Struthio camelus: one gene and its partner. The protein of the gene in region 1 interacts with the protein of each later gene in a pairwise test. Links are inferred from orthologs where the notes say so. Each region holds a gene or a part of one and is shown on either strand. Other genes may lie near its edges. The genes, in order: FHL5 and CREM.

Region 1 (16,789 bases):
AGTACAAGAAAAAAAATAGGGGTAATGTTAAGGCTTAGATCATGGCTTTCATTTTTCTGAAGTCATTCTTACCTGAATTTTTTTTTACATTTTTTCAAATATTCTGGAACAGCCAGAACATTCTCATAATATATTCATTATAGAGCGCATTACATTATGAGCCTATCAGTATCCTCTGTCATATTATTATCCTCACTGCTAAGGCCAGTCCTGAGGAATTCCAGACCTTGGAGACAAGAGAGGAAGGCTGGAGAAAGGAAGACTCTCCCTTGGTGGAGGAGGATCAGGTTAGAGATCTTTTGTCCAAACTCGACATCCATAAATCCATGGGCCCCGATGGGATGCACCCACGAGTGCTGAGGGAGCTGGCGGATGTTATCGCTAGGCCACTCTCCATCCTCTTGGAAAGGTCCTGGAGATCAGGAGAGGTGCCTGAGGACTGGAAGAAAGCCAATGTCACCCCCGTCTTCCAAAAGGGCAAGAAGGAGGAGCCAGGAAACTACAGGCCTGTCAGCCTCACCTCCATCCCTGGAAAGGTGATGGAACAGCTCCTCCTGGAGGTCCTCACTAAGCATGTGGAGGACAAGAAGGTGATCAGGAGTAGTCAGCATGGATTCACCAAAGGGAAATCATGCTGGACCAATCTGATAGCCTTCTGTGATGGAATGACTGGCTGGGTAGAGGAGGGGAGAGCAGTGGCTGTTGTCTGCCTGGACTTCAGCAAGGCTTTGGACACTGTCTCCCATCACATCCTCCTAGGTAAGCTCAGGAAGTGTGGGCTAGATGAGTGGACAGTGAGGTGGCTTGAGAACTGGCTGGATGGCCGAGCTCAGAGGGTTGTGGTGAATGGCGCAGAGTCAAGTTGGAGGCCTGTGGCTAGTGGTGTCCCCCAGGGGTCAGTCCTGGGCCCAGTCTTGTTCAGTGTATTCATCAATGACCTGGATGAAGGCACAGAGTGCACCCTCAGCAAGTTTGCTGATGATTCGAAACTGGGGGGGAGAGGCTAACACACCAGAAGACTGTGCTGCCATTCAGAGGGACCTGGACAGGCTGGAGAGGTGGGCGGAGAGGAACCTCCTGCAGTTCAACCAAGGCAAGTGCAGGGTCCTGCACCTAGGCAGGAATAATCCCATGCACCAGTCCCGGCTGGGCGTTGACCTGCTGGAGAGCAGCTCTGCAGAGAAGGACCTGGGAGTGCTGGTGGACAACAAGTTAAACATGAGCCAGCAGTGTGCCCTTGTGGCCAAGAAGGCCGACGGTCTCCTGGGGTGCACTAGGCAGAGTGTTGCCAGCAGGTGGAGGGAGGTGATCCTGCCCCTCTCCTCAGCCCTGGTGAGGCCTCACCTGGAGTACTGTGTCCAGTGCTGGGCTCCCCAGTACAAGAGAGACATGGCACTCCTGGAGAGAGTCCAGCGGAGGGCTACCAAGATGATTAGAGGGCTGGAGCACCTCTCCTATGAAGAAAGACTGCAAGAGCTGGGCCTGTTCATGCTGGACAAGAGAAGATTGAGAGAGGATCTCATAAATGTGTACAAGTATCTGAAGGGAGGTTGTCAAGAGGATGAGGCCAGCCTCTTCTCCGTGGTGCCCAGCAACAGGACAAGAGGCAACGGGCACAAACTGAACCACAGGAAGTTCCATCTGAACCTGAGAAAAAACTTCTTCACTGTGAGGGTGACAGAGCGCTGGAACAGGTTGCCCAGAGAGGTGGTGGAGTTTCCTTCGCTGGAGATATTCAAAAGCCGTCTGGATGTGATCCTGGGCAATATGCTCTAGGTGACCCTGCTTGAGCAGGGAGGTTGGACTAGATGATCTCCAGAGGTCCCTTCCAACCTAAACGATTCTGTGATTCTGTGATTATATGCAAGTCATATTATATACATTTAGGCATTTCACAGGTTTAAGGATTACATCTGGCTCAAAAGTCCCATGTGAAAAACAACAACCAAACTAGCTGATAAGTTAAATACTTAAAAGACACTTAAACTGTTTAAAATTGACTTGTTTCAGGTGCCCAAGTTCAAAATGCATCGAGTCCTGAAAGCAAAGCAGATGTAGGCCTAAGATGTGGATAGGAACTCATTAGTGAATGCTAGGTACAATCCTAAAGGAATTTAAAGTAATGTCGGCAATGATGTCCCCCAGGGATCAGTTCTGGGGCCAAGACTAATTTATTCATCCATGACCTGGAGGAAGGGACAGAGTGCCTCCTCAGCAAGTTTGCTGATGATACAATGCTGGGGGGAGTGGCTGACACACCAGAAGACTGTGCTGCCATTCAGGGGGACCTGAGCAGTCTGGAGAGATGGGCAGAGAGGTAACTCGTGAAGTGCAACAAAGGCAAGTGCAGGGTTCTGCACCTAGGCAGAAATAACCTTATGCACCAGTACAGGTTGGAAGATGACCAGCTGCAAAGCAGCTTGGCAGAAAAGGCCCTTGGGGTCCCAGTGGACACTGAGTGGACCATGAGCTAGCAATGTGCCCTTGCAGCAAAGAAAGCCAACAGCCTCTTGGACTGCATTAGGAAAAGCACTGCCAGCAGGTTGAGGGAGGTGAGCCTTCCCCTTTGCTCAGCCCTGGTGAGGCCACATCTGGAGTACTGTGTCCAGTGCTGGGCTCCCCAGTACAAGAGAGACATGGAGCTACTGGAGCAAGTCCAACAAAGCACACATTTTGACAGATGAGCAAGAGGTGGGATGTTCAAAAATATGCAAGTAATTAGGAGATTCATTACCATTAATTTTAATGTTCCCTGATATGTAGTATCTGGTAAATATGGTCTCTAAATCCTCCTTAATGAAATTATATTCAGAGAAAGTGCACGAAACTGGTTACAGGAGGAAAAGGCCAAGGAAACTAGTGATTTCAGCCAATTTCTGTCAAAGAAAAGGCCAGTTTCGGTAGAGTCAGCTTTTCCACAGAGAAAAATCACTTCCAGCAATCTCAAGTCCCAGTCATGTGTGAAATTAAGAGAGAATGCCAGTTCCACTGACAATATTTTCTGCATTGTCGTGGAGGGTGAAGTATCATCTACATGTCCTTTGTCAACCAGCCTGATTTAGACATGACCACTGCCTAAAAGCTGAGGTCTTTTTGATGGAAAGGGTTTCTGGGTTAACTGGTGTTAATTGTTACGGATCAGGCAACAGAACATATATGCAGGTTTGGATGCCTTCAATAATCTTGACTATTCTGCTGACTTGGCTTCGAAGGAAGCGGAGGCAGCGCTCTGCTCCATTGCTCAGCATTGCTGTATATGGAACAATGAGGAATAAAGAAGTGTTTTGGGCACTGACAGCCTACACTAAATATGCTCCTGCCTAGAACTCAGGAGGGAAAGCAGATCTAAAAATGATGTAGCAATGATTTAAAGAATGTGTGAAAGAAAATGACTATAGTTTTATATATCTTTTTCAGTTGAGCAGGCAAAACCATCTTAAGGAAGGCGAAAGGAACCCTACAAAAGATGTCTAGGCAACAACCTGCTCATGAGGAAAGTTTCCTAATCCCATTTAGGGGGTTAGATACATGCTCTGAAACATGAGGATTTATAAGTTTCCAAAACTAATATAAATTAAAAGTTGTTACTGCATCAGGGTATTCTTGGAAGAAAAGGAGTTTTGCACTAAGCTTGATCCAGACTACTTAAATAGTTTTATTTTTTAAATTTTGAAGCATTTTAATCAGATGTTTTTGAATAAACAAAACTCCACGGAAAATGTCAGTTTGCTTCAGAAAAGTAGGACTCTCAAAAGTGAAACAAAAGATAATTTTGGTCTAAAAATAAATCTTAAATTTTTGACAGAAAACTGTTTTAGTAAAATCTTAAATTGTGATTTTTTGATATAAAGATAACATGTTCATTGAGAGGAGCAATTTTCTAACTAGCTGTACATTTTAGCCTAGGAAAAAGATGGCGTTCTAAGTTAAAGAATCTGTCTCATTTTGAGACAAGAAACTCATTAGCAAAAGGATGTTTATGCTGGGATATAGTTGCCTCATAAATAAAATGGTGGGAAGGCTGGGAAAGTTGTACTTGCATGGAAATATTAATGTATTTTTTACTACTATCAAACTAAGCCCTAGCAAGCTCTAAATGTTTTCAAAAGAGGAAAAGAAACATTAATAATTCTGGGCTGAATTGTTCACGATGAGAATTGATTTCTGAGGTCACAGCTGAACTTTGGCCATGAACAGAAATTCTCCTCCTCACCACTTCTTCCCTTTCTGCCTGGCTTCCTCTTGCCCCTTTTCCTGCCTCCACCCTCACCTACAATCCTCTAATTGTGGAAAATACTTCAAGTGCTTCAGTAAAAAAGAAAGCCAAAGTTATAAATGAAGACAGACGGTGAAGTCCTGATCTGAGAGTTTTGCCAGCGAGTTTGTCCACAGCATGCAGATTAGATTAAGAGATCTCTGCTACGACAGCATCTGCACATCAAAAATCCTACTCCCAATTTGCCTTTGTTCAAGGCACTAATGACCTAAGGAGAGGCCAACATGCTTGCACAGCTGCGCAAAAGTCCACCAAGAAAATAGCAGCATCTTAGTGAGAGACTAACACTGCTGGGCAGGAATACATCTACCTGATAGAGAAACAAGCTTGCCTTCGGGACTGAAAGCTTTCTTGGGGAAAACAAAAGCAATGGGAAATGATGTCTCTGATACGGTGAGAACTGAAATGTTTAGGGGCCATGAAACAAAACAGCTTTACTGCTAACAAGAGGTAACAGAGCTTCAACATGCAACATTGCTGCTGACTGCAACCTTTAAGATTTTAACAGAAAATAGGCCATGCCTTTTACTTGTAGATGCATCAGCTGCAGAGAATGGATTTCTCCCACCCTTACGTTTTATTTCAGGGAGAGAAAGGACGGTGAAGAGTACCATGTGTCTTGAGAATGGGTATTCTACGTGAATTAAAATCCTATTAAAAAATAACAGCAACCCACTGCATAATACTTTTTCTAGCTGGGTTCTTTAAAAGCCTGTGACCTACTTTAGAACTGCTTTAAGAAATGAAATGAGCAGTAAGAAAAAGATGAGCAGCAGCAGCATATATGTTTTATAGCAAGCTAAAATTGGAAAGGACTTTCATTACCCAGTTAAAAATACCCTCCTCCCCCAACACCAAACCAAACATAATATCCCCAAGTGGTAATACAGAATCTGCTGCAGCAGCGCAGCCTTTTACTTTTCTCTCCCAACTGTACTGTGCCAACCTGACCTAGTTTTCTGAGGAAAAAAATAAACCCAGCTGCAGCACTTTGTAATAAAAATACAAAATCTTATCAAAATGAACCAAATCTGAAAGTTTCTGATGGCAGCCCTGTTCAAGGCTTGTCACTGGCTAGGTAACATTACAGCCTCGGAAAAACAAAGGCTAGTGTTAAGTATTGGTATGCAAGATCCCTACCTTAGTTTTCACCGTTCCCAGGTATTTAGACTTTTAGGCCTGACAAACAGGCAGCTCTGTTGCTTGCAGGGCTCCATCCGTCTGGTTGCCACCTTTTTACCAAGCTTTACATTGGAAACACAGATGACAGTTCTGCAGACAATTTGTGGCCACAGGAATCACAGTCTGAAAAGTCACTGCTACGTATAGTATAAGAAATGCTGTGCAGAGCATTGAGTAGAGCCCATAGTAGACTGATGCCAAAGCCAGGACTGCCCAGGTATTCTGGATTTCTACTGACAATTAACTCAGTAGGCTTTCCTAGGAGAACTAGCAGGAAGTGTCCTCTACAATTGCAGTCTCTTTGGACTACAGAGATGCAATAATAACACAGTCTTATTAAAATACATATACATACATATGCATCTGGTAGGCAGATAAACCAGTGAAGGTCTAATCCATTGGAGAAATCCTAAAAGATGCCATGCTCTTTGTATTCTCCTGCTTTTATGATAATGAATGGCTTATAGAATATAACTGAGACTGAGGGCAAAAAAGGTTTTCAGGAGAATGCCAAACAGTCAGCCGCTACGAAAACACACTGTGGACTTTCTTAAGTAGTCTTATATAACTTCCTTTTGTTTCCTCCTAAGTGTTACATGAACATGTACTTTGTCTTCTCTTGGACCATGATGCCAGAAACACTCGTATGTCTATGTAAATTAATGCAGGTGAATAATATCACTTAACGCATGGAAGTCTTATCAGGCGGTTTAGTAACTGCTGGATTAGGCTTTACCTCTGCATGTTAGGGTTGGTGTCCTCATACTTACCGGGAAAGCACTAGGCACAATTCAGTTATCAAGTCTCATCACTTGCACCAAGACTGCAGAAACAAACTGGTACAATTTGGCCATATGTGCATTTTGCTAAATAGATGGAATTATGGCAGGGTGATATTTTGCTTTTATTCTTTGCCCTGCATTTGTTTTAAATGTACTATAAGGCTGCAACACCTGCTAGTTTACTACGCAGGTGCATCAAGGGCAGGCTGCTGCTCTTTGAGCTGGGAAAAAAAGGGTAAAATATTCAAACAGACACACTTAGTTATGACAGATGACCTGTTTTCACTGTTGATAGTAATCCACATGTTTCATTCCAGCACAGGAAATAGATATCTGACTCTGAATTTTTACTCAGTTCTAGAAGAGAGCTCACTAGATGACTTTTGAAGGCCATGAAACCATTTAGGAGAGGTTGATGGGAAGAAAGGCAGGAGTGGAGATCTTTTTACTTTTTGCTCTTCCTTTAGCAGAGAGAGAAAATAAGGGAGTGTTGCTAGGATTGGGTGTAGAGAAAATTGGTTTGTTTAACATATGGTTTTGTGCACCACATTTTCATTGAATAAAAATCTTAATTGAAGATTTTTCCTAACTCAAACAGGTGAGTCCTCTTTCCCCACAAGACAAAATATATCATTGCATTGACTCCTCGTGTTGTGTGAGCAGAAACATCGAGTGGTGCTTAGACTCGGCTCTGAGTTCTGCTCATATCCTGCCAGAGACTTGCTATATGACTTGTGCCAGGTCATTTGAAGTGTTCATGCCTCTTTTACTTCTCCTCTTTTTCTGCTGGGCCTGCTTGGGTGATAAGGTCTTCAGAAAAATTATGTGACTGGGTATCTTAACATTTCCCTTAAGTCCTAAAACCTCTGTACCAGACCTTAAACATATTTCTTACTATTTTAACATAGTCTGTCTTCCTAAAAGTGGCTATGAATTAAAATTAGACACTGAAATGAATAGATCTCAGTATTCTGTCTTACTTTATTATGATGTGAGGTTACTGACCCTTCCATTACTGCTCTGCTGGGATTTTTGTAAAGTCCTGGCATGCGAAAAGGTTGCTTTTTTGCTTTTTGGGACTATATTAGTTTGAAAGTGGATTTCTTTCTACAATAATAAATACATACTCTCTAAAAGCTGGGTCCAGTGTAGGATTACCCAGTTCTGATGGACAGAAAACTAAGGCTAAAGATTATCTGAAAATCCAGAATAGGCAACATTTAACTTTGACAAATCGTAAGGATTAAAAATCATCACTTAAGTCTTAGAATGGTGGAGCAAATTTGTCAGGAATGAAGAAATTCCTTTCTTATAGTTAGGATCATTTTAAAATCAGATAATATAATTCAAGGACATAGGGTAACAACGGAATCTATTCAAGTGATAACATGAACCCTGACACAGCAACAGAAAAGTAATTACCTTTGCAAATCTAGAATGGAACGAACCACTTTTGGTGCAGGATGACCCTCAGAGCCCATAACTCTAATTAGCTGCATGTTAAGACTGGGCTGAGTGGGAGGGGAGTGGTAAGCAGCAGCAGAAACTCTGCTAAGGTAAAAATACAGTTCAAGTCCTTTTTGCTTATTTATGTTACATATGGTAAATGTTTTTGGGAAAAAACAAAAGTAAATGATTAAATACAAATTTAAGAATTCTGCTACTGCATTTTAAATAAGAAAATGCTTTGAGCTTTTAATTTGAAATGTTTCTCAATGCTCTTCCATTTTCAAGCACCAAACTAAACAAACTTTCACAATCAGATCTGTTCAACATGAAAGATTTTCTCTAATCTTTTTTTTTTTCTGCATGCAAATAGAAAACAAACCCAGCTATTCGAAGAACTCTAATGATGGCACAATTTTTCATGTTATAATGCATAAATGAATATTGATGTTGCTGAATTAGTAGCTTGGGGAGCTCACTTGAGGAAGACTGGGCTCTTGATAAATAGACTTGTAGCTTAATACTCTGAGATATTTATACAGCCTTCCTTTCAAAGATCTCAAGATAACTTTTCTAACAATAACAAAGCAAACCTAAAACACAGTTATGAGATACTTGTCTACAGGAAAGGTTAATGCCTTTCAAAATAAAATAACTGATTCGCCCACGGTCAGAGAGCAAACCTGGAGGAGTGGGAAGAGAAGCACACACTTGTTATGCCTTTGCCTTTAGAGGATTTTGCTCGTCAGACTGCAGTCATGGACCTGGCAATGGAGAGTTACAAGTACTGTAGGTTGTGGAGGTTGCCTGGTGGAGAACTTCCAGCTGAAGCACTGCTGGATAGAAAGCACTACTGAAGTTAGCTGAGGCAATAAAATGCTCCAGTTGTGAACTTTACAATCGCCCCTAATGACTCTGGAGATATGACTAATACTTACGCAAGGCATTCTGAGGGAAATTTATCCAGTTTTGTGTTAAACTTCTTAAGGCCACAGCATTTGAGACAGTTCCTAATCATTAAGGATTTTCCAGAGAACCTGGGCTGCCTCCAGTCAGCCTTGGATAATGTGGTTTTGAATTAATTTTTTTTTTCCTCAGTATAACAAACCCAGTTTTACAGATGGGGGACCGAAGCACAGAACAACTGGCTGACAGTCACTTTGAACTAAATTCAGGTCTCCTCTGTGTGTATTCTGTCACTAATTTGTGCTATGCTCTGTCTCTAAATCATTCTTTCTATCAATTCTACTATCTATGCACCAAGACAGGTTATTGAAAAATGAATATTTTTCTGGTTTACAAAAATGATTAAGTGTAAGGCCAGCAGTGAGCAAGAGAAGCCCTTTCAGATCCACTACTCATAATATTTTGAGATGTGCAGAATTTGCTAGTCTTTATATATGGACCTAGAACAAATTCAGATTCAAGACAAGCCTGGTTAAGAAGATAAGTGACCTACTAGCGTGGAGGTAATGAAGCAGAATCAAAGAAAACTTTTAGTCTAAGAAAAGGAAACCAGGAGAAGAGATAGTAGCTGATGTATACTATGCAATATCAGAGACGAACGCGTGCTATTCACAAAAGCTAACTTAAGTCTGCAGAGGCTAATTCACTAATGTGCTCTTTATAGTTAAAGGAGAGAGAGAAATTCCTCTTGAGGGTGATTCATAGCAGAAACGAAGCCATTACTAAAGAGAGAACAAAGAGACATTAGCTAGCTGTTGTAAAGTCCTGCCTCTCACAGTAACTCTGCTACAAAATTTAATGTCTTGAGGTTTTAATAATAGTAGCTTATTTGCACTGTATCAGTTTAGTGTTTCTGGAGAAATGTCTACGTAATTCTATGAAACTGTACCCATTTCATCCCTCTTACATTTTATAGGAAAATATAAACCTATGAAATGAGTTCACAGCTTCCTAAACAGAACCACACGCCCTGCTCTCAGCAAAATGAATTCTACTGTAGGAGCAAACATGGAATATGAGCAGCTTTTCGTCATTCCCATTTCCAAACTTTGGGGCTCTAGAAATTTTAATAGGAACGTTGAACCGAAATCATTAATTTTAAGAATATCCTGGAATTAGACATAAGACATCATCCTACAGTTAACTGACAGGAAAATGTACAGAAAAAATTAAGGTCAGTTCTACGCTTTAGGTGATCTAAAGACTTGAGCAGAATCCAGGTCTTGTTTAGTCCACAGGAGGGGTTTTCACCCCTCCTTGAAAAGGGGTTAGAATTTCACCCTCTGATTTTAGGCTTGACATTTAGAAGCCTGCTGGTCGAGACTTTGCATTTCTGCCTGTCTTTCCACGGTTAAGCAATACTAATAGATTTCAACTCTTCTTTTTTTTTTTTTTTTTTTTGGATAAGTACAACTCAGACAAGGAAAAAGAAGGATGAAAAGAAAGCTGGGCTTATTTGTATATGGCTCATAAAACTTATATCTTACCATGTCAACCAAAAATATTCATTTGCTAGAAAATGACTGCCTGCAAATAACCTTGAAATACCCTACAATTGATCAGAATTTCTTTCAAATAGCTTTTGCTTTCATGATTTTGCTCTTATATTACGAGAAGGTTAATATGTTATTTTAAGCACCTACCAATTATGCAACTTCAAATTGAAGTGACTTTTGTGCCACTGTAATAAAATTACATGACAAGACCATCAGCAATCTGTTATAACATCAGTATATTAAGTCTGTTAAAGCCTATTCTGTTAAAATACTCTAGAAATGTCAACTCATGACACAAACAGAAGAAAAATATGGGTGAAAATATTAGACACAAACAAGAAAGACACCTGAAACTTGTATTTTAAATATAAGAGATTTTATGTCAAGTTCCAGTACACAAAAAGATCTTTTGACATTAGGGAAAGTTAAGAAAAAAACGGTATTTAAAACTAATTATGTTATTGAAATATAAATTGTATTTGATAGTTCAACCCAAGTTTGATTTAATCCTTATTATCAAAAAGATTACCTTTAAGAAACCAGGTATCAGTGCAATTAATATATAGAGACTTTAAATTATGGAATATTTCCACTTTTTAACTTCTGCCATATAGGTAGACATTTCTAGAACAATTTTAGTGAACAGAGGTTCATCCTTTCAGTCCTACTCTCATGCTTTCAAATCCCAGACCAAGATGATGATCCTAAAAAGGTGGTAAATAAAAGACACAACAAAATATCTTACAGAAGGAGAATGTTGAAATGATACTTGATTTGATAACACGGCTAAATTTTGCTGTAAACACCAGCTTGGTAACTGGTTTTACTTCAAAGAAAAAGTAAGAACAATCCATACTAGACAGTGAAATTAACTGTACTAGAAACCAGTGACTTACCGTATCAGAAAATACACTATTTAAAGAGTTTTCTTACAACACCAAATAGCTATGATAGCTTGCCATGAGAAAAAAACGATGATTCAAATGTCACAGGAAATAGCATATACATTTTTGATGTTTTAGAGTAAATAATATTCATCCTTATATCATTACAAAGAAGAAAAAAAAAAAAACGAGCAATCTTCCCCTAGATTAATTAGTGAGTCAATGAATAAAAAGAAAACAAGTGCATTTGAAAAAATGTGGAATCTTGTTTTGGTACACAAAACTAAAACATTTTTAATGTAACTGTGGAATTCTGCACATAGTTTAAAGAAACTGTAGCCATAGGAATGAGTAATTTGTATCTGAAGAAAAAAGCTCCTCCTTAAGCGCTTAAAATATTCAATTAGTTACCTGTTACACTACCACAATTAAACGTTATCGCATAAAGGAGAAATGGAAATACTTAATACTCACATCTGGTTTCAAGCTGCTTCTCCTGGTAACTTGTGTAACAAAATAAAAGGAAGAAATAATTGGACTTCTTCGCAGAAACAAGCATTCAGTAAGTCCAAAAGAAACAGAATACTTTGCCAGAGCTATTTGAGGGTCCCATTAGAATTTGGCTGCCTGGAAGAAGGCTGAGGGTCAGTTTGTTTCCCTTAGACCTCATGACATGCAAATAGCTGGCTGCCTCACCACTGAATCAAATCATTCTTTGACATCTTGTGTTTACAAATTACAAATACATACCACGTAGGAGGTTCTTAAAGGAGCATATTTCAGATAGTTGTCAAAAGGAAAAAGGCACTTCTGTTTAGAAATAAAATGAAATAAAATAACATAAAATAAAACAAAATAAACCAGCAATTAAAGAATCAACCCTCCCACCCCAAGCTGTTTAGTACAGGGGCAGGGTGGCAGGGGAAGATGGATTATCATTCACCCTCAGATTGATTGTGCATGGACTAAAATGTATCCGAAAGACCTGATTTAGAGTTGTAATTTAGGAAAAAACAAAAATCCTGATGACTAATGTCTGAGTGTCAAGATACCGGAGATGGGAGAGGGGCATAGGGAGAAGCTTTCCTTAAATTTAAGGAAAGATTTTTGGGGACCCAGGGGAGCTTCTCTGATGCCACTAACACAGTTTCTGGGCTGGAAGGTTTGCCAGTCTCGCAGTACATAGGAAGCTGTTCCTATTGTATTATCACCTGTGTAAGTACTACTGGCCTCTTGTAGGTCTTCCTCAGTTTTTCTCAGTTCTGGCTAAGACTGAATTGCAGTCATCTCCTACTGCGTGTTTGGACAGAAGAGGGGCCAGCCAGCTTCTGCATACAGCCTATGGCATGCACAGAGCATACAGAAGAGCTCATACTTTGTATAGGATTCTGTGAAGACCTTTAACCCATTTTAGCTGAAAAATTTGCAGGCTGAAGTTAAGCAGACTGAAAAGAAGGATGGCTGGTTGTGGTTTAAACCACTGCTGACCTCCAGGCAGATTTTTCCACCACCAAGAGCCAATAGACCTGAAAAATTTAGTCTATAATGTCAAGTGGGTAGGAACTGTTTTTGGTCACAGTTAGAAGGAAGAAACATTTAAACAGTTCAAACAAGTATCATGTCGTGTGAAGCCTTTGATAAAATTGACAAACCTGGAAAACATTTTCTGAAGGTTATCTGTGTCTACGTAATGTCTTACAATTAAGACTGTAATCATTTGATTGTTATTGCTGAGAATTCATCATCTCTATTTGTGGCTAATTGGTTTATTAAATTTCTGCAGAAACTTATTTTCATCTGCACAAACTAGATGGAATTTTTTCCTCCTATTGAACTATTAGCTTTATTTAGACCAAGCATTTTGGTGATTCCTCAATCCTGAGATTTTTGTAGATCGAGAAGAGGGGACAACACTCATATCTGACTTTGAATCCAGAATGAGGATCGTGAATAGCATCTTCTTGCCTTTACTTCCAAACAGAACAATCTGAAAGTACAACTCTTAACCAAGTACCTTTTGAAGCTCACAAGTGAGAACAACCCAAAAATATTATCCAAATGGATCTGTCAAGAGCTAATGACATTTTGAAATACTTCTAATACAGTATGTTCTTTTCAGAGACAGGAGAAAAGATACAGATGCCTTGAGTATATTATCACCCTTAAACTTCAAAGACTTTTCCAAATTTTTCTCTGAATATATGTACATTTATGTTTATTTAAAAGAAAGTTAGTATTTTTGCTAACAGGCGTAAATTACAGTACAGTTGAAGAGGAGGAAAATAAATACTGCTGCTTCTTCAGAATACCGGTTAAATGTCTCATACAACTCACATCGCTTCCTGAACTTCCTGAAACAGAAGGCTGCCTATCTCATCTGTCCCTAAACCTGAACTGTCTTGACCTAAGCTGCTGCTTCTCATGAAAAATTTAGGAGTTCATCAACCAAATAACCAGCACGGCATTTCTCTTTAAACTTTTCAAAGTGGTACTTCCACTTAAGAAAAAATAAAAAAATGACATTCCTCAGCAATTCAAAGAGAAAAACAAAAATCACCGTTCTTTCTGAGAAAACATGTTCAGCTTTTACTGAATATGTTCTCAGTTATTCGGGTGAGCAGAGAGAAGGAATCCTGCTCTCAAGCCTTCTGTTTATCCAAAAGCTTCAGATCATTGCCATTTTTATGTTTAAAGCACAATCATCATTCAAAAAGTTTGAGCAGCACATATTTCGAGGCTTGAACAGCACTCAAGGGAAACATCACAACATGCCTTGTTCTTATATTCCTCCCTAGGCGTCCACTTTTGGCCACTGCTGGAGACAGGATACTGGGCTTGATAGACCTTTGATCATACCCAGTACAGTCACTCTTATGTTTTCTGCAACAGTATTAAACTTATTAAACAAACAACCACTCCCCAAACCCCGACCCAGTAGTCTGTTTTGTAGATCTTGATCTAAGGAAAACAACTGTTACTTTTATATATATGTATACACACACACATTTTTATACACACACATACACACACAATTTGTATACACACACATTTTTATACATATATATAAAAATATAAAATCCTTTATATATTTATATATAAAAGTGTTTGCCGAGTAGCAACAAATACATGAGTAGCGTGCTCATGGGTCTATGCAGAGAAGTGCTCTGCACGGAAGTACTGCAGCTGCAACTGAATAAACTGTAGGACGGATTTATCCCGACAACAAACCCCAATGCTATTACTTGGAAACTTGTGCCAAAAGACTGTTAAAGAAACTGCAAAAGCAGAGAATTACCACGAAGGCTGCAAGTTCTAACAGAGCAGCAGTTTTCTTATTTCCAGCAGACTTCCAAATAACCAAAATTATGACAGTTACATTTTGCCAGCTACAAACAGGCAAAGGAAAGGCTGCTGCTGAGGAAGGCATCTTTCTACCTGTGCTTATGATGATAATTTCAATTTTTTGAGAGTAGCAGCAAATAAGGCTATGAGAAGCATATTCATAAGTATTTGTGTGTATATATATGTACCATATATATCTGTATCTCAATATCAGCAGTATGAGTCTATAAAAATGCTGCAGGCTAAAGGATAGAAGGAGAGGCTGACACTGCTACTTAAAGCCAAGGCAAAAGTGTTGACTTGTACACTGTGCATTGCATTGCATTTTCCTCGATATGACAAAAGACAGCTTTACTTTGTGAATTTCTAAGTCAACAAAACTCTTCCTCCCACATATATTCATTCTAGGGAGAGGAAAAATACCAATTAGCAACATGTTCAGGAAATTATGTATATTCCTTTTCTTTCTCTTTCAGAACCCTTTATTTGATAAAGACTGACTTTCTACATCTAAGAGACAATAAAATACCTAGGCAGGTTCAGGAGTCAATGTCTCCTAGAATTCTGTCAGTAGACAAAGGACACTTCTGGATCTTAGTGCTTCCTTTTTAACTTGGAAGAACCTATATTTTTTATCATTCATACTTATTACCTACAATTTAGTAAGTCTAAGGCATTACAGAGCAAAATCCACTACATGTTCGTTATTACTCTGTCTAATAGTATCAAAATAAACACAGGGATACTCAAAGAGTCATGTTAAATCAAATGATGCATATTACCAAATGCCATTTGAAAGCTGCAAGTACAAGACCATCAATCACTGGTTAAGTCAGTAGAAGGTATTTTAATACGCCATCATTTAATATTATTAAAATCATGTCATATTTGTATACAGAACGTCACATGGTATATTATTATTTTAAAAATAGATCAATGTCGTATAAAGCAATTTACATTCAGTATAGGAACATTATAATTACTGTGGCTAAATAATGAGAAATCAAACTTTTTCACTATATGCAAATTTTATTTCTTAAACAAACAGCCACAGTACTTTTCACCTCTTACTCCTCAATATCCTTCATTGTCAGCTATGACAGCCTCCAGCCAGGGAAAGAGGAGCTACTACCTTTGCTTCTGCCTCCAAAGGAAAGGAATTCAAACCACTCTTTTGCCTTATAATCGGTAAAGATCAGTGCTTTGATGTAAACATCGTTGAACAGTAGTGATTTTTATATAGGTATATAATTCAGATTTTTACCTTATCAAAATTAACTTAGCCTTGGTTAATCCATTGCTGAGTTTCCATATTTGGCCTTGTCAACTTGTTTGTTGCAATTTCAGGCTTGTTTAAGAATTTAAGTTTATAGAATATGTACAGTGCTGGAAAAGACGAATATTTAAACAGAGTACAACTTACAGAGAATCCAAACTATTTATTTGCTTTTGGTATCAAAGAATTCTGGTATAATGGGTGAATGATTTTCAGTAAGCAGCTATATTTCTTGTTTTACTACTCAAACTTAGTTTTATGCAAAAACCTGAAATTACAGAAACAGTCATTGGACGTTATGGAAGTAATACAAGGTTACGTAATACTAAGATAGTTTGTGTTTGAAAGTGACCTGCTCTTAAAAATAAGTTAGAAATAATTGACATATGAGAATTATGTCATTAATACTTTCAGAACTCTGATGTACTTTACCTTTAATATAATTCATGCAAAATGAAGCTAGTAAAAACTTGAGGGAAACACTGTAACAGTATTTAGCTTCTTCAGGTTAGACAAACAGATTTCAGCATATAAAGTTTATGAAAAAAGATCTGAACAGTTAACATTTAAGTTATTTTCAAGAAACTCAGGATAATACATCACAAGTTCTCTCAGATAAGGCAGCTCACAGAAGGCAAGCACATACTTCTAACCACTATAGGAACCGGACTGAGAACTCAATCAGTCCACTGAATGAACATAGTGTATGTTAAATTTGGCAGGGATAATAGTATTTCTCCACTCCCAAAATATCCATGCTAAAGGATATCACCTCCTCTGTCTCCATTACCAATTTTTAAATGAGCTGCTATTATGGATATTATCAGGATATTTCAGTAGCATGGGTGTGCAGAGATTTTCATAAGATTACAGTACATTTAGAAAATCACAGTAGTACGGAGTCTCCTCTCTTAGATTTACAGATTTTTATTTGTACTTATTGTTTTTACTGTTGTGGTCTAGTGAACAATTTTGAATTTCTCTGTTGTTCATACAAAAGCTGAAAATATCAACTACTTGTATAGAAAAGTAAAGATGGCCTTTCATTTGTACACTATTAGATACTAGTCTTATAGTTTCAAAACTGGTCTTTGAAACTGAGATACACATGCTTATATACAGTGCTGCAACCCTTACAA
Region 2 (16,113 bases), on another chromosome or scaffold:
GTCTTTTTTCTTAATTTCTTCCAGAGACTTCAACTTTTCTTCTTAATTAAAAGCAACTCTCAGCTATCACAGACAAAATCTGCTCTCTCTCCAGCATGAAAGTTAGAAAAAAGCTCAAGACGTCCAACCAGAAATATCGGCATACATCGAAGCAGTATGTTGCTGCAACAACACAAAGGGCAGAAAATGCTTAATCCAAAAAAGTCCAAAACTTTTTTGGTTTTGCTTTGCTTCATTTAAAACTAAAAAGTTTAGCTTCAACTTTGTTCTTCAGATAGCTGTCTTGAGACATTACTTGCTGGATAGCAAAATAATTGTTAGAATAAAACAATTTCTGGATTTGCAAATGTTTTAGTTTAAAAAAAAATCTTTGTTTTATGTTCTACAGTATCAAGAAAAACTGAGTTGGCACCCAGCAGAATTTTGCTGCAACAACAAAAAATAAAGGACAGATAAGAGCAATCTTCTTCAAAGCTAGAAACAGCTGAAAAAATAATGCCCTGTTCTGTTCAGGAAAACATCTACCTCCCCACCCCCGATAAAATTTTAGAGCACACAGCTTTACCGAGCCTTTGCCTCACAGCCAGCTGTATCCAGAAGATGAATCAATTAAGAAATAGTTAAAACATCTATGGGCTAAGAAACAGCTCAGTATTTATGCTAAAACTATTAAATCTATTAACAGAAACGAATACTGAAGGAAAGGGAAAAGTCCATAATAGATCTCAATTTCTCAAGACACAGAAAAGAAAGAAAAGAAAATGACAACCAGCATCAAGGCTACATGATAAAAAGAGATACTGTTTGTGTTTTTCAAAAATTCAAAGTGAACTGCATTAAAAATCCTTATTTCTGTGTTCTGTGTGTACAAGACTGAATCATCAATCACATCTAAAGTCTGATATTTTCCCCTTCCTGGCTTGGTTCTCAGCCAAAAAATATACCTGGTGAAAAAGAGATCATCTGCTGATGTAAAATACCCAAGACAACAAATTTGTCAGCACTAGAAGGTAAAAGAGATGACAGTGACAAGAAAACATCATGAAATACTGAATAAAAAAGTTGTTAGAAAACATATTTTGGATTTTTCTATATTCACATTGAAGATTTTTCTTAAATTCCAAGTATTAAAGAAGCTTTTCATGATCCGTAAGTCATTACTTGTCTGGGAAATGTTCCTTTCTTGAGGCAAGAGAAAGTTTTTAATGGCTATTAAGATCCACTATTATCAAAAAGACCAGATGTTGGCTCAAATTATCTTCAAGAAACAATGTTTCTAGGAAACAGAGACAGGATCTTGTCAACAATCACCACGTACACTACGCAACTGTTCAATTGTTATCGGAAACTGAACAGATTCTCAGGAAATAAAACAATTGAGGGCACTTCTAACCTGCAAATGGAAACAATTATTCCTTAAATGGTAATAAATGGCAACATGTAAACAGGCTACAGAAACCTTCTTCCCAATCTATAAAATAAACATTACCACTACTATTAAGAAATAGATATTTGAGACCAGGATCTACAAAGTCTTGAAGAGCTGAAGAGCACGATCTATTTCCTGTCAGGCAAAGTTGACATCACTGCAAGCCCAAACTTCAAGGAAAGAACTTGGAGTCAGCGTAAACATTTACAAAGCACTTTTCAAAATATATTACAAAGACAATTTTCACCAAACCTTCCAGTTTGCAGCCCTCACAAAGATAGCAGTAACCTGATACAATACTCTAGTGTATCTGAGAGAACGTTCCGACTACAACACACACAAAACAGTACACCATGAACAACAGTTTATTAGTTTCCGTGTTTAGTACACAATGGGTCAGGCATATATAATCAGGAAGTAATCCAGAATTCAAGATTAAGAAACACTGCATTCATTTAAAAAGCTCCTTATTCAGTCCAACTACATGGCGGGGGGAGGCGGGAAATCAGCTAATACTAGGCTAACAATTGAACAGGAGAAAATGTTTTGTTCCCATCAGTTCAGATAGAAGATTAAACGGAAGGCAGGGAGGGGAAGAGACAACATTACTTTTAAAACTGAACCAAACCAAAAGTTATTTGCTCGTTTGCTCATTTCCATTTTAAATAGATAATTTGATTTGCTCACAACTTGCAAAGTTCCACAAATATCTGAAGGTTACGCAATGCACAAATTCCTGTTATTCTAACACCTATAAGCTATATTTTAAATCTGTGATTCTTTTGTATTAGGTTTATTTTTTATAATTGAGATTTTAAAACTCCCTTCCAATCTCATATTTTGCATCTCTTTATAAATATTAAAATTGTTAAAACATCTTTTATTCACATTTCACTCTGCATTATTTTCAAATTGCATCCTCCTGCATTAACTGAAATACTAGAACCTTTTGACATTTGAGGCTATCAGGTTACTCACGCATAAATGCTGACTGAAGCAGCCTTGGCAAAAAAGTTACTTTCCCACATTAACGATGAGCAATGCTAGCTATAATATCATTATTTCAAGGGCAGTCTAGGACAATGACTGAAAACATCCCATAGAAGCAACTCAGCAACATGGAGGCCAGGGAGAAGCTTAACTCACTAAGCCTCTGGTTAGATGGTGTAAGGGTTTTCTCCCTGGCAACGGCAATGAGAGCTAGGATCTTGTAATGTTAGTTGGGGGTCTAAACTCCTACGTGTGCAACGGTCAAGCTTAATGGCTTCAAAATTACCAACCACACATTCTGTCATGGTGGCCTGGTCTCATACTTTGTATATTAGGAAATATATGTGCCTCCGTCTTGAAAAACTAGAGAGTAAAGCAGCAAGTAAAAAGATCAAGAATCATCTTCATGCTGAGGCATGCATTCGTTCAAACAGAAAGGTTATTTATGAGTTATCTGACCTCAGTATGCACGGAAGATCTGAAAAGTTATATTGTGGATATATGCACCCCTTGTCACTCAAGGTCAGGTAACTTTTCCCTATAGAGGGCTACAGAGGTTATACTTGCTTCCAACCTCTTTGTGCTGGGAACATTGGATACCATGAGCTACACGGTGCCCAACTCCATTGGATTTCCCTCTCAGGCGTAGAATCCACATACTGTGCAGATTCCAGAAGTACACAAAAAGTACTACTAGAAAAGTACATACAAAGCAAACCCATCCTGGATTCACCTGATAGAAGAGTACAAGGACTCACCACACTCAGACACCTCTGAGTAGCCCCTATGATGAAAAGCTGAAGCCAGGGGAGTTTTGGTCAATTCCAACGCTAATGTCAAAGAGGAAGCACCTAGTTTTAAGGAAGACAAGGTTAAGCTACTTTCAGCCATCTAGTGACTGGATACACTTGAGGCACAAACAAAACAGTGACAAGGCAGCAGGTGCATAAACCTTTAACACCAACTTTGCCAGATGCTCTGGACCTGTGTTTGGCTGGGCTAGCTTTAAAGCAATATGACCAAGAGTGTGGCAAACTTCCATGGTGCTCGGTTTCTCACGAGCAATATGTAAAGTAAAGTTTGGTGCTGAGAACCCACTGGGAAGATACCTCTGAAGCGCTAAATAGAAGCAGTCCCAACTTGCAATGGCTACGTACTCCAGGCTCCAGAAGGCACCCATCCAGAAAGCTCCCACAGCTCTCTCCAACAGCAGTTATCACTTTGTAAATCCTGACCCACACTTGGTCCAGGGCAAACACTAAGAGGTCAACAGATGATTTCTCAGACCAAGACAGCAGACGTAGCTCTGCTAACAGATAGGACACGACAAAGCCAAAAAGTGATTCAAAGAGGGACCCATCAAAAACGTGTAGGATTGAGAAGAAGAAGAAAAAAAAAAAAAAAGTACTTTGTCAGAACTCAAAAAGGTCAAAGTACAATCCTCTTATTTTTTGTATTATATCTATTAATGTAACTGAGCACAGCATAAGGCAGAGTGCAATGAGGCCTCTAAGAAGTACTATAAAAGGAGCAACCGATCTCTCTCCAAATAGCAATGCACATGCAACAGTTTCAAGATATAAGTTTGATGATGATCAATATTATGTGACTATTTATAAAGTCCAAATTAACTTCTTAAAAACCAGCCCACTCTGTATTAATATAACAGCAATGCATATGAGATGGAACCCATGGGACCTGGTTAAGTACCAGTTGAGAAATTTTCCCCCTCAAAGCTCTAGTCTTCCCTAAAGAGAAGGCTTGAAGCTTCTACACAGTTACTCTATACACTTCAGCTTCTAAAGACAAAAAACTATTAAATACTTTTACAAATTAAAATTTTTACATAATTCTTTTGATGCGTGGATCACCAAAACAATACAATCTTGACGCATTTATCATTGTTATAAATAATTGTTATTTATTCCTTATTATAAAGGATGCAAGAAATTCAACCACAGATGCCATCTTGTTCTACATTAATGTTATTACAGAAATAACTCTTTAAAGACAAAAATTGTCAATTTTGCCTCAATGGACCAAACGGGCATGTTATTTTTCCTATGTTATAATTTGCTAACTTTTGCAAAAAACAGAATTTTACTTTCACCACAAAAAAGAATTGCAGGAGAATATAACCATTTTTTACACACACTAGAAAAAACCCTACTGCAGCCTTTTCTCTACTAATAACTCATAACAGCAAATCTTTAGCACTGGAGGCCATCTAATTACGCCACAGTCCTACAGCCCAACGGGGTCGTTAGTTTCCAAGGGGAGGCATCAGGAATGCTTCAACACAAAACAGTGTCCGCTCTCCGGATATTATCATCTTATTGAACAACTTGTCCCCCCTTTTCAAAATAAAGGACGAGTATTTCTCTAAAAAGCCGGAACTCCAGGAAAACAATATATAAATCAAACATATACACATACATAAATATATAATATCTAATGTGTGTATATTTATCTATACATAGATATAAGCTCCTATGCAATTGTATGCTTCGTCATTTTGCTACTCTTTCCCCGGCCAAAGCAATACACAGAAAGCTGCAAACTGAATATTAAAAGATAACCCATTAAAATGCTTTACTTCTGACTGAACAAAACCAATGTTGAAAAAATATCCAGTTAAAAAACAACCACCAACAACCACCCCAACGTCTGCGCAGCAACCCTCAGTTGTAGCGAGTAGGCTTTTTTCGCCACTCAGTAAGAGCCAAGCCATCCTTCCTGTCTCTGTTCCTGCACAGTTGCAAGAAAATTAGTGAGGAAAAAGGCTTACCAGTTGGAGCAAGCTACTTGCCAGGCACTTTAAATGGCTGCCTGCTCTTCTCAGTGCTCCTCCAGAGGCCAAAGAGAGAGCGAAGGAGCTCTTGGCGCCCTTCCGCACCGCTCCGAACACGCGTGCGCTGGGCCAGCACAGCCCAAATCGCTCAGAAACACAGACAGTTTCCCGTCCCGCGCCTGGCAGAGGCGGAGAGGTGACATTCCTCCATGGGGTCCCTGCCTCGCGGGGTGGCAAACGTCTTCAGCCAGTCTAGCTCTCACCTAGAACACAGTGCCTCACCTTCGGAGCCTGCCGGGCAGGAAGGCACGCTAGCATGGTCCTCCTCATCGTAAGCCAAAGAGACCTAGCTAGGGAACGACGACGTCCCCCTTTCCTCCGCAGCAGCAGACGAAAGGCAGCAGACGAAAGGCAGCCTCGCAGGCACCACGGTGCCGACCCCAAGCTGCCCCGAGGCAACGGCAGCACCGCAGGCCCCCCGCGGCGGTGCTGGCGGTGGGAGGAGGACGCGTGGCCCGGCCTGGCCCCAGCAGCCCCCGCCCCATGGCCCTTGGACTCCCTGTCACTGTTTTTTCCAAAATAGCCCAATTCCATGAGCTCTGCTTTTCCGGGCAGCCGAGGCCTTCGAGTTACGGGAGCCGAGCAGGCCTGGAAAAAGTCAGAGTCGGCTCTTCAAGCCTTCTGACTAAAAAGAGGAATTCCCACATGTAATGATGTTCCCACATCTCTTTGCTCTCCTGAGCCTTCAGATGGAAGCAAACTCCAAGCTGCCCCATTTGTTTCCTTTTACTGGTATTTGACTGAGATTCAGTTAAAAGCGTTACCTCCGAAACAGGCACATGCCCAGCGTGGCTGAACCGCATCAGTCACCACCAGAAAGTACTCAAGTATCGAGGGCAGATAAACATGAAAAGGGCTCTCCTTGGGGACCCCACAGAAGTCCTCCTACAGCTTTGTCTAGTTCAATGTTAAAAGTCCCAAATGACAGGATTCACAGTAGTTTTCTTCAGAGACTATTGCACAAACTCACAGATTTTACATAGAAGTCACACTATTACTATAAGTAAGTATTACTTTAAGTCTGAACCATCAGAAAGGAAGAAATGAGAGAGTAACATGAACAGAGCAAAACAAATAAAATTCTTGTTTCACGCTCCATTCTTAAAGGAGAAGAAAAAAAAAAAAAAAGACTCCCAGTGCTGCAGGTACCAAAACCACAACTAAATGCTGTAAATGACAAAAAACATCAATGAAAAAAGTTTCAAAAGTATTTGGAGGCCTACTTTGCACACAAAGACCCAACACAAAGCAGTAGCATTCATCCTTGAAAATACACCTATAATGAGAATCAGGCATTTAACATTCCAGATATATGGTATGAAATAACTGAGGATCCCTCTCCTCATTTGGACAGGAATCTTACTGAGTAACATCGCATGCTGAAGAAACTCCATAAGATGATTTTTTAAACAGTTCCAAAGGCTTGACAAAGGGTTTCTAAAAATCCTTGTAAATGGATCTATGTAGTTTCCTGACATTACAAATCTTAGTACTGGCATGTATAACATTATTTCTCTCATGGGCTGAATATTTCAGAGAAGTATTTTTAATGTTTAAGAACTGTTATTCTTTTTTTCCCATTTACTGCCAAAAAAACAAGTACAACTACACAGAACAAGTGGAATGTATTTCTAGAAAACGAGACATTGCCATCAGGCACGCAGGGGTGAAACAGAACAGCACATATTAAAATAGTACTTGCAGGACTAAACCCATTCTGTACAATACCTGGAACTAGGAAAGAACCATAATTATTTTCATTCTTTTTTCATTTTTGTTATACAACACATCTTTGAGATACAAAAATGTTTTAACTATGCTTGATCTTGCAGCCTTCTCAACCTATTAGGACCCTATTCCCACTTGCATAATACATATAATCGTCTCAGCAAATGAAAAAAAATCATGTCTACTTCTCATTGTAGTAGTCCAATCTCCTAGAAGTGTTACTTTGCTTTGATGTAATAGTAGCACTATGTTAAACACAGCAGGCATAGTTTTCAGTATACCTTTACCATTTTCCCTATTAAATAACAAAAAGAACTTACGAAACATGATTTAAAATTGGTAAGTTAACGGTCAGCATTAAAAAAAACCGTTAACAGTTCTGAATATCACTTGTGCTGATTCTTCTCATCTTTCCATTTCAGCTTACCTGAGATATGGGGGAAATCTGACTTTGGCCTGGCTGATTCTGAACATGAACAGCATCTCTCTCTCGCATAGAATCCACTGCATTTCCATCCTGTTGCGATTCAACCATTTCCATGGTCATCTGTCTAAAGGTAAGTACATACATACATAAATAATCTAGTACACGGGGGATATTAGGCACCTAGGGAGAAAAGAGCAATTTCAAGCTGTTTTATATTTGGAGTAGTAAGCTAACAATGAACAGAAAACCTCTCTCTCAAAACTATAAGATTAATCAAAGTCATACTTTCCCATTCCTCCATGTTCAGATCTTCATACAGTCAGAGGCTCGAAACACACGTACTATGAAAAGCTGCAAGGAAAGGCAGCTCTGGGAACGGTTCTCTAGAGAGAGGTGACAACAGAGTGCCAGGGTCCCACCACAGAGCAAGGCTAACCAGAGCGGAGAGCAGGATCCAGAGCAACTGCCAGCACTGGCTGCAGCTGCTCCCTAGGACCTCGTCCCCAAGGAGGCCGGGCTCAGGATGCCCAGCAGCCACATGCCAGCACACCACGCTCGAAGCTCATGTGATACCATCCCAGGCTAGGATTTGTACTTGAATTGTCTGTGAACTATGTGTGGCTCAAGACCCACGGACTGACCACTCTTCTTGCTTTGCAGGTTTTAAAATTAGGCTAAGTTTCATAGGATAAACAACTCCATAACCCTCACTTAAACCTGTGAGTTTAAGCTCCATAGAGCGAGCCTCCAAACCTATCTGCTGTATAAAGATACTATTACCTTCCAGTTGTTTTTCCGTATTTCTTGACACACTTGGTCATAATGGAAGATGTGTGTGATCTAAAACAAGAGCGTGGTTCTCTCCAGCCCCCTTCTCTGCTGCCAGAAGAGGCACTGCAGGTGCAGCGCCCCGCAGCTGATGTCACAACGGGGCCCTAGCAACCCGTCCCCAGGGTGCAGCAGGGGACCCGCCAGAGGGTCCCGTGGGCTCACGTGTCCCCCAGGCCCGCCCCACGGCTCTGTCTGACATAACTTACTTTATACAAGAGATCAGGACCACAGGAGGGAGAAGCGATACAGTTGTGGGTTTTTAAGAGGCAAGAAAAAAAAAAATCTTTCTTAGATTAGGATCAGCAAGTTCAGTTACTGTAACTAGGGCACCGCAACCCAGTCTGAAGTGTATTTTCAGCTATTTCATCTGGCTGACAGCTACTGAAGTTTCTTCTCAGGTCTTACACTAGGATATAAAATAGACAGAAAGGAAGTCTGCTCCTGGCTCCTGAATTAAGACCTACATGTTACATGTCAACTGCATTAGATCAAATTAAACAAGCTCAACTTTTTTGCTGCAGTGTGTTACAGAATATTCCACATCGATTTTTTGAGGAGACAAAAAAAAATAAAACAAAACACAATATCCCAAACCCCCACCCTTTTTGCCTCAAATGAAGGCATGAAAACATCAGTTTACCTGTATGTTCAAAAAGGAATCTAGTCAAACGATATAGAGAGGCATACTGCAAACTTGTAATCCCCTAACAGTACTGTACCGACCAGATTTAAGAGACTGCTTTGCAAGCAGGACCTTGCAATTTAAGCACTTCACTGACCATAGCTGCTGTAGTACTACAGCTGTTGGCAGCCAGGTTTTATACAATTTAAGATTTCAAGGGCTAACATTAGTTCTTTTTTCTGCCAATAGAAGTTATACATTCTATGCCTTTGCCTCTCTTGGGTATCTGCAACAGTTTTACTGCCATGGCTTGCAAATGCTCTCTCCTTAGAGCAGGATAACTTTCTACTCTCCTTTCCAAAATAAATCTCAGGGTTAGAAAACGTATTTCATCAAAAACTTCTTCAGCTGATAAAAATAGCATCACTGACAGGACAATATTAGGGGACAGCAACAGCTAAAGGAAAAAGTTGTCCACGTGACCCAAAAGGTCAGAAGTCACTTAAATCTAGATATATGACCCTTTCAGTATTTTTTCTCCATAGACTGTAAGCTAAGCACAGCATCCCTATCAAAACATACCAAAAAATCTTTTTTTCCCCTCTCCATACTGCAGTTTGTTTTACAAGGCATTTTTTTTAAAGTATCGTATTTAATGTCTGTTGGTGAGCTTCAACTGTGAAAGCAAATTGGTGCTGAAATTCACACTGCTGAATACATATGACTTTTCTAATTAAATACCCAGAGTCATTTTAAAGATAATTTCTTTATTTTAGCATTACTTTATACATCAGAAACTGTTTACAAAGATGGCTTACTACCAAAGAAATTGTAAGGAAAAAGCTAAGAAATATGTTTCAGGGCTTGCTCTAGATATCTTCTTCAAGGCTTTTACTCACAGGGAAGTTACTAAAAAGCAAGGATGTGAATCTACAAACAGCTGCTTGGCATTAAGCGGTGCCCCCATCCACAGTGTGGAAACTCTCAGCATGTATTAGTTTCGGAAGAGCTTTGTGTTTTAAGTAGGAAGTCTAAATTATGAAATCTAAAACCCATTTTGCTACACTGCTATGTGAAGTTCCAGGTGGTGACCGTGTTCAACGAGGTAAAATGAGCAACACTGCAGCAGATCAGGCTCTGACAGCAACTTCTGTGAAGTGTTCAGTATTAGCACAACAGTTACTTTCTTGCATCTCCTATGCTCTTAAACGCGTCTCCCTTTTTTTCGCCTCATCTTAGGATATAGACTTTACCAACACCCTCAAAAAACTGAAAAAACCCAAACTGCCACTACCGTAAGACCAAGCACACTGCCTGTCACACTGGACATACCATCTCAATAATCCTGCCGAGACAGTACGGAGCCTGCTGTAAACAGGACACAACAGTCCACGTGTGGCAGAAACACAGCCCAAGCAACAGCCACCGAACAGAGAAGAGGATCGCTCCTGTGTGTCAGCATCTGCGGGATCACTTAGCTGCTGCAAGACGCGCAGCTCCTCCCCGCCCTCAGCTAAAACGTCGGCGCGGCAGCGCAGGATGCACACAGAAAACCCGCAGTTCACGCCAGCCGCAGAGCTCGCGCAGCCGGCCGCGATGCTCCCCGGCCACCTGCCCTGTCCCAACTCGGGAAACCCAACGGGCAGGGGCGGCCCAGGCCCGCCCGACCAGGCGCCGGGGCCCCCCGCCCGCAGCGCTCCCCCCCCGTCAGGCCGCCTGCAGGCCCCGGGCCCGGCGCCCTCTGACAGCAGCGGCGAGGCACGCTGCCCCGGGCCCTCCCTCGCCCGAGCGGCGCCGGGGCCGCCGGCAGGCGAGTCGGGCCGCTCTCCCTCGCCCCGGCCGGCCCCGCAGCACCCGGGCCGCGCCGCAGACGGGGCCCCCCGACCGAGCCGTGCAGAGCCCAGCCGGGCGAGCGGGCGGGCGCGGCGCGGCCCTGGCGGCGGGCGCGCTCCCGGCCGCCCACCCCAGCGCGCTCCCGGCGGCGGGGCCGGGCAGCGCGGCAGAGCGCCCCCCGCCCCCGCGCCGCCTGGGCTGGGCTGGGCTGGGCCGGGCTGGGCTGGGCCGGGCCGGCCGCTGCCCTCGGCGCTGCCCCGCCGCCGGCCCCGCAGGGGGTCGGGCTGCGCGCACACGTGTCCCCGCCCCCTCCCGCACTCACCCGCCGCCCTGTACGTGATGCCCCCGTCACAGGGGGGTGGGGGGGATTGGGCCGGGCGGAGCCGCACGTCGGCCTCACGTCAGCGCTGATGCAGCCGCGCCGCTGCGGGGGCGCTGAGGAAATGGCGTCTGCGCCGACTCCCAGCCCCAGCGGCCGCGGAAGGAGGAGGAGCCTGCCCTTCGGCGGCTGCGGCCGCCAGCGCCGATTGGCCACAGGGCGCCCAACGGCTGGCGGCCTGGCCAACCGCCGCGGCGAGGCTGCCGGCAGCGCTCCTCATTGGCTGGGCGGGGGGGAGGGGCGGGACGCGGCGGTGCTGCGGGCTTCGGAGCCATCCTGCCCGCGTGGGGGAGGGGCGCGCCGCCCCTCCGCCGTGCGCAGCCGGTTGCAGCCGGGGGCGCCGGGCCGCCTCGGCCCTCCCCGGGGCGCCGCGAGCGGAGGGCGGCGGAGGCCCCGCGCCCCGGCCGGGGTCGCGCTTGCGGTGTGCGGTCGCAGGGGTGTGGCGCGGCTCCTCTGCGTGCCGGCTGGGCGCCGCCGATAAGGGCGGGCGGGCGGGCGAGCGGCTGGGCCGCCGCGGCCGGTGGGGAGCGGCCTCCCCGCGCCGAGCGGAGCGGAGCGGAGCGGAGCGGGGCCCGGCGCTTGGGGCGGTGCGCGGCCCCGGCGGTCACCAGCCCTCCGGGGCCGCCGGAGGAGCGAGGAAACGTGCCGAGGGGCCGGCACGCCGCAAGCCGGCCCTGGGAGCTGGCGCCCGGGCTTAAATTCCCCTGTTTCCCGAACGCACGTCCCCTAAATCAGTTATTCCTAAGAGTGTGTGTGTTTTTCCTTTAGGAGCGTGACATCAAGCTCTGTGTTTGTTTGGCTGAATACATCAGAAGCGGCTAAGAGATAAAGAGCAGCTCATGTTTTCCCCCCCTCGCTGCCAAAGGATACGTTTGCATGGCGTGAGTCACGTTCGGCCTCCGCGAGATGTGTCTTGTTCCAGGAAGCGCAAGGCCTGTATCCCCGGTTTTACTCACGCTTGCGTTCCACAAAGGCTTGGGTCATGGACCGCGCTGCTCCTGGTGTCTTAGCGTCCTGTGTCTTGGAACTACGGTTCAGCACCTCACGAAGCAGTGTGAGAGGGGGTTATACTACAGCATGTCTGTTACAGTATTACTTGTCTGCACGTGTTCTCAAGTACTTTATGTACTTATCCTTTTGTGTCTGTGTGCGTGAGAATCTGTTCCATAGTGTGTCTAATAAGAACGAAAGGCCCCAGTTAATTTCACAGGACTGACTGCAATTAGGCAACTGGAGGGTATGTATGTCAGCTTTAGTAATATGCCCATACAGGTCAAGTATTCAGTCTTTTCATGGAGTGAAGAGAACCTATTGATTTTCTGTGTTCAGAAAGCAGATAAGTATTTGTGGCTTCAGACTTCAAGAAGAAGTAAAGTACATTTATCTGCAAAGGCTTTTGCCTTTGACCACTCAAGTTAATTATTGGCCTCACAGAATTTATTTAACACAACTATCAAAATCATAATCCAATGCAAATAATGCAATGTTTATAATGTTGCTGTTGCTTATGAAAGTTTTCAGTCTTCATTTCCTTTGCTGAAATATCAAATAACACCCCCTTCCTGTTTTGAGTTCTGTTTCCCTCCTTTTGTTTGTTGCCTATGTTTTTATGTGTCTTTTCAGAGTTTTAAATACGGGTTGCTCTTCCCTTGATTTATACTCATAACCTTTTTGCTTTATAGTTGACGCATTAAGTACAAACATATGCGTTCATCAAAGGACATGCTTTAGTAGAAAACATCTGGTGAATTAGAAAATATTTTCTGAATATTAACATAATCAAATGAACAGCCAAGCATAAAAATGCTAAGAATAACTCGTGATGCCTTTGGAAGAAATTCCATCTTTGTTTAGCATAGTCATAAAGCCAGAAGTAGATGTTGTGTTTCTAGTAACATGTAAGAAATATTTGCGAAAGTGGAAATCTGATTACAAACAGTGAGGGAGAAAACCACCAGAGTCAGTTATTTATAAACAAATTGAGAATTTCCATAGAACGCTTGCAGTGTAAAGTTGGCAAAGGAGTTATTTCCTATTATTTTTCAAATAAGTTGCAAGCAGCTTTGAAACTTTCTTGACTTATCTTTATTTATACCTCTTTTCTCTCTATTTTAATGAAATACAGAATATAAATGATAAACTGAATATTGAAGCTCCAGTTTGAGAAAACTCATAGTTGAAGAAGGAGTGACCTGTCAAAGGGGTTTAGTTTCTAGCAATGCAAGGATGATTAAACAGCTTCAGCTCTTGCGTACTTGACATGGCTTACTGAAGTTGGTAAACTTCTGCCTGGGTTTAGTCTGGCCTTGCAGGTGTGAGTAATAACAGAAAGTGCCACATTGTCACTGTGGCAAGGTTGTGGGGTAGTAGTTGTTAGCTCAGGACAAACCAACCTGTGTTACAAAAGTCACCGCTTTACTGCAATCATTCTAAAATTGTTTTAATTAAGTGGGTATCAATCCCTGATGTGAACCAATTTAATTTCAAATGCTAGGACAAAAGGCAATCAATATGAAGACCACACAGGATAGGATCCTTTATGATCATCATCATTTACACAAGATAGTTCTGAATATAAATTGGAAAGCCAGGCACTTCACTGCCAGCAGAATGCCTGCCTGCCTGAAGTCCCTTTTTCTTCCTAACCTGAAACATCCAGTCTGATACTACATCCAATCTCCTGCAAATTCAAGGAACTATCAGCACTTCAGAAACAGTTATTTTTGTTTGTTTTTAGGCTTTAGTGTGGCAAGTGAGAAGATCTTAGAAGAGAATGTAACCCAAAGAGCAATGCAAAGTTAAGCAGCCCTCAGTTGCCGCTCACATCTTGTTCCCGCTACCTCGGTTATTTTGATACAAGTTCTTGTGTAACCAAAAGCCTACCTGCCAAGTAATCTCTGTTAAAAGCAATGTATCTAGAAAAAAGTTACTTTCAACCTGCATCACTTCTCAAGTCTGGTCTGCGCAGTCATAGGAAGAGAAGGATTGCCTTAGCTGAGAGGTTTATATTTGAGTAGGAATGAGCAGGGAGCTGAAGCCACTTGAACTGGAACTGCCACCAAAAGAAATGGTCGTGTTCTTTGTGCAGAAAATAAATACTTCACCAGTGCATAATAAATCAATATGAACACCATTTACATCATCCTCAAACAACTGATTTTTCATGCTGGGTCTTCCCCACTTCTTTTTAATACATTTTTGAAGAATTTACTTGAGAGTTTAGTGTATTTCGGTTACAATCTTATGAGACGCTTACATAAAATCTTCTTGTAAAAAAAAAAAAAGTTCATAGCTGGCCTCGGTAAAGATGGAAAAGGGACATGCTGCTTATGTAAATATTGCTTATAGATTTATTTTTAGTTAGGGCTCAGACATTTGAAAATGATATGGGTTAGACTGACAAAAATGAAGAAACTAGCTTTCTAATTGGAATAATACTGCGTGTAACATGTTATAGAAATGATTCCATTGTTTGCTGTCTTGACTGTTGTTTAAATGATTGTTCTGTGATTTTTTTTTTCATCTTAATAACCGTTCGGTGTGTTACATGCACACTTCTTAGACCATTCCACACCTACACGTTCCTAGACATTGAGGAATCATGAAATGCAACTTGTGGAGTAAATGAAAGCCTCTGTTCAGACAATGACATCTGAAAAGCCCTAAATATTCTTTGCAAAAGAAAAAAAAACTTACAGGTTGTTTATTATGCCAGAAATAGTTCCCATTGAATGATTAGCTAAAAGATGACCAGTAAATTTATTTTCACTTAACACTTAACGAAGCTCACTGGTAAGCTCTTTTCACAATGTTTTATATTTTTCTTGACGTATGCAATCTGATGTTTGAGGTCTACATCTTTTCCTCCTTAAAGACTGCATGCTTATACTTATTGTCATAGGTCATACAATTCCTCAGTGTGCATGTGAATCTGGAAGAGACTGAATTACCGTAAATTAATTGCATCACAGATCTCTTCATGGACCACTCAAGGTTTAGCTGGTCATTAAATACTATCTCTGCTCTTCCACTGCCTCTAAAAGGGTAGAAGGACAAAAGCAGAACTTGTAGGGCTGTCACAGGAAAGTGTGGTCATAACATACAGCCATTGTTTTCACAACTTATTTTGTAAATATGATGAAAGTCAGAAGTAGCCAATACGCTAATGATGCAACAGAATCCCGAGCTGTCTGAAATAAGAGACTGGATTAGGCAAGCAACAAGTTCACTGTAACGAGTGTATATAAAACTGATCATTTAATTTACCTGTCCTTTTTTGATAAACTGCCAGGAATGCTAAGAAAAATAGGCGTTTCAGTTGGCTTAGAAACAGGAACAATATGTCCTTAGAAAGGCAAATGCTGAACAATATTGTTGAAGTTGCAACCTTTGTAAATTGCTTTTTTCCAGGTGTATTTATATAGGTTTATAAGAATATTACACATCTGTAGGCTTTTAAGTATTTAGTTACGTTTCCTTTCCTAAACTCTTATTTTATGGTGGACGTAAGATTGAGAGACTATGTGAGTAGATTAAGAGCAAATTACAAATATCTTTATTTTTAAGAATGTTTCACTATTGCCCGTTGCTGGAGCCTCCAAAAACTGATACTGCCAATAAATTAGTGCTGTGGTAAGATACTGGCTTGACTTTTGTGGGTGCCAGAAGCGTAGGAAGGAAAAGCCTTGTTGAGTCACAGGTACAGCTCAGCTAGCAAGCTGAGCTAACAACTGTGAGCCTTTGCAGTACCTCAGCTAGCTCTGGTTTGCATTACTTCATGTACATGGCAGGTTATATTTATTTGGAAGGTTATGGGGTTATTGTCATTGAAATGAGTACCAAATACTACTCTATTTACATTTATTTTATTAAATACCTTTACTTTGATTTTTCTTGGGTTCCTAATGATGTGATTTTAGACAATAGCTTACAATAATGCAACAATGTTTCACACTTCAAAGCACAGGTGCACAGTCTGAAGTACATTTTGATATATGTTTTAATTCAACAGTTTTTTAGGATT

What was found.
Region 2: the proteins of FHL5 (region 1) and CREM interact in a two-hybrid assay, tested with the Homo sapiens proteins (2 studies listed by BioGRID). The link is inferred for Struthio camelus from reciprocal best matches to the Homo sapiens genes FHL5 and CREM.

What each region holds. Positions count from the first base shown.
Region 1 is NC_090944.1:53,215,944-53,232,732, reverse strand, and holds the start of FHL5 (four and a half LIM domains protein 5), read right to left. Parts: upstream 11,725-16,789; 5' UTR 11,592-11,724; coding exon 11,507-11,591; intron 5,522-11,506; exon of another isoform or gene 5,417-5,521; intron 1-5,416. UniProt on the Homo sapiens protein: May be involved in the regulation of spermatogenesis. Stimulates CREM transcriptional activity in a phosphorylation-independent manner.
Region 2 is NC_090943.1:15,767,072-15,783,184, forward strand, and holds the start of CREM (cAMP-responsive element modulator), read right to left. Parts: upstream 8,341-16,113; 5' UTR 8,247-8,340; coding exon 8,206-8,246; intron 7,550-8,205; coding exon 7,426-7,549; intron 1-7,425.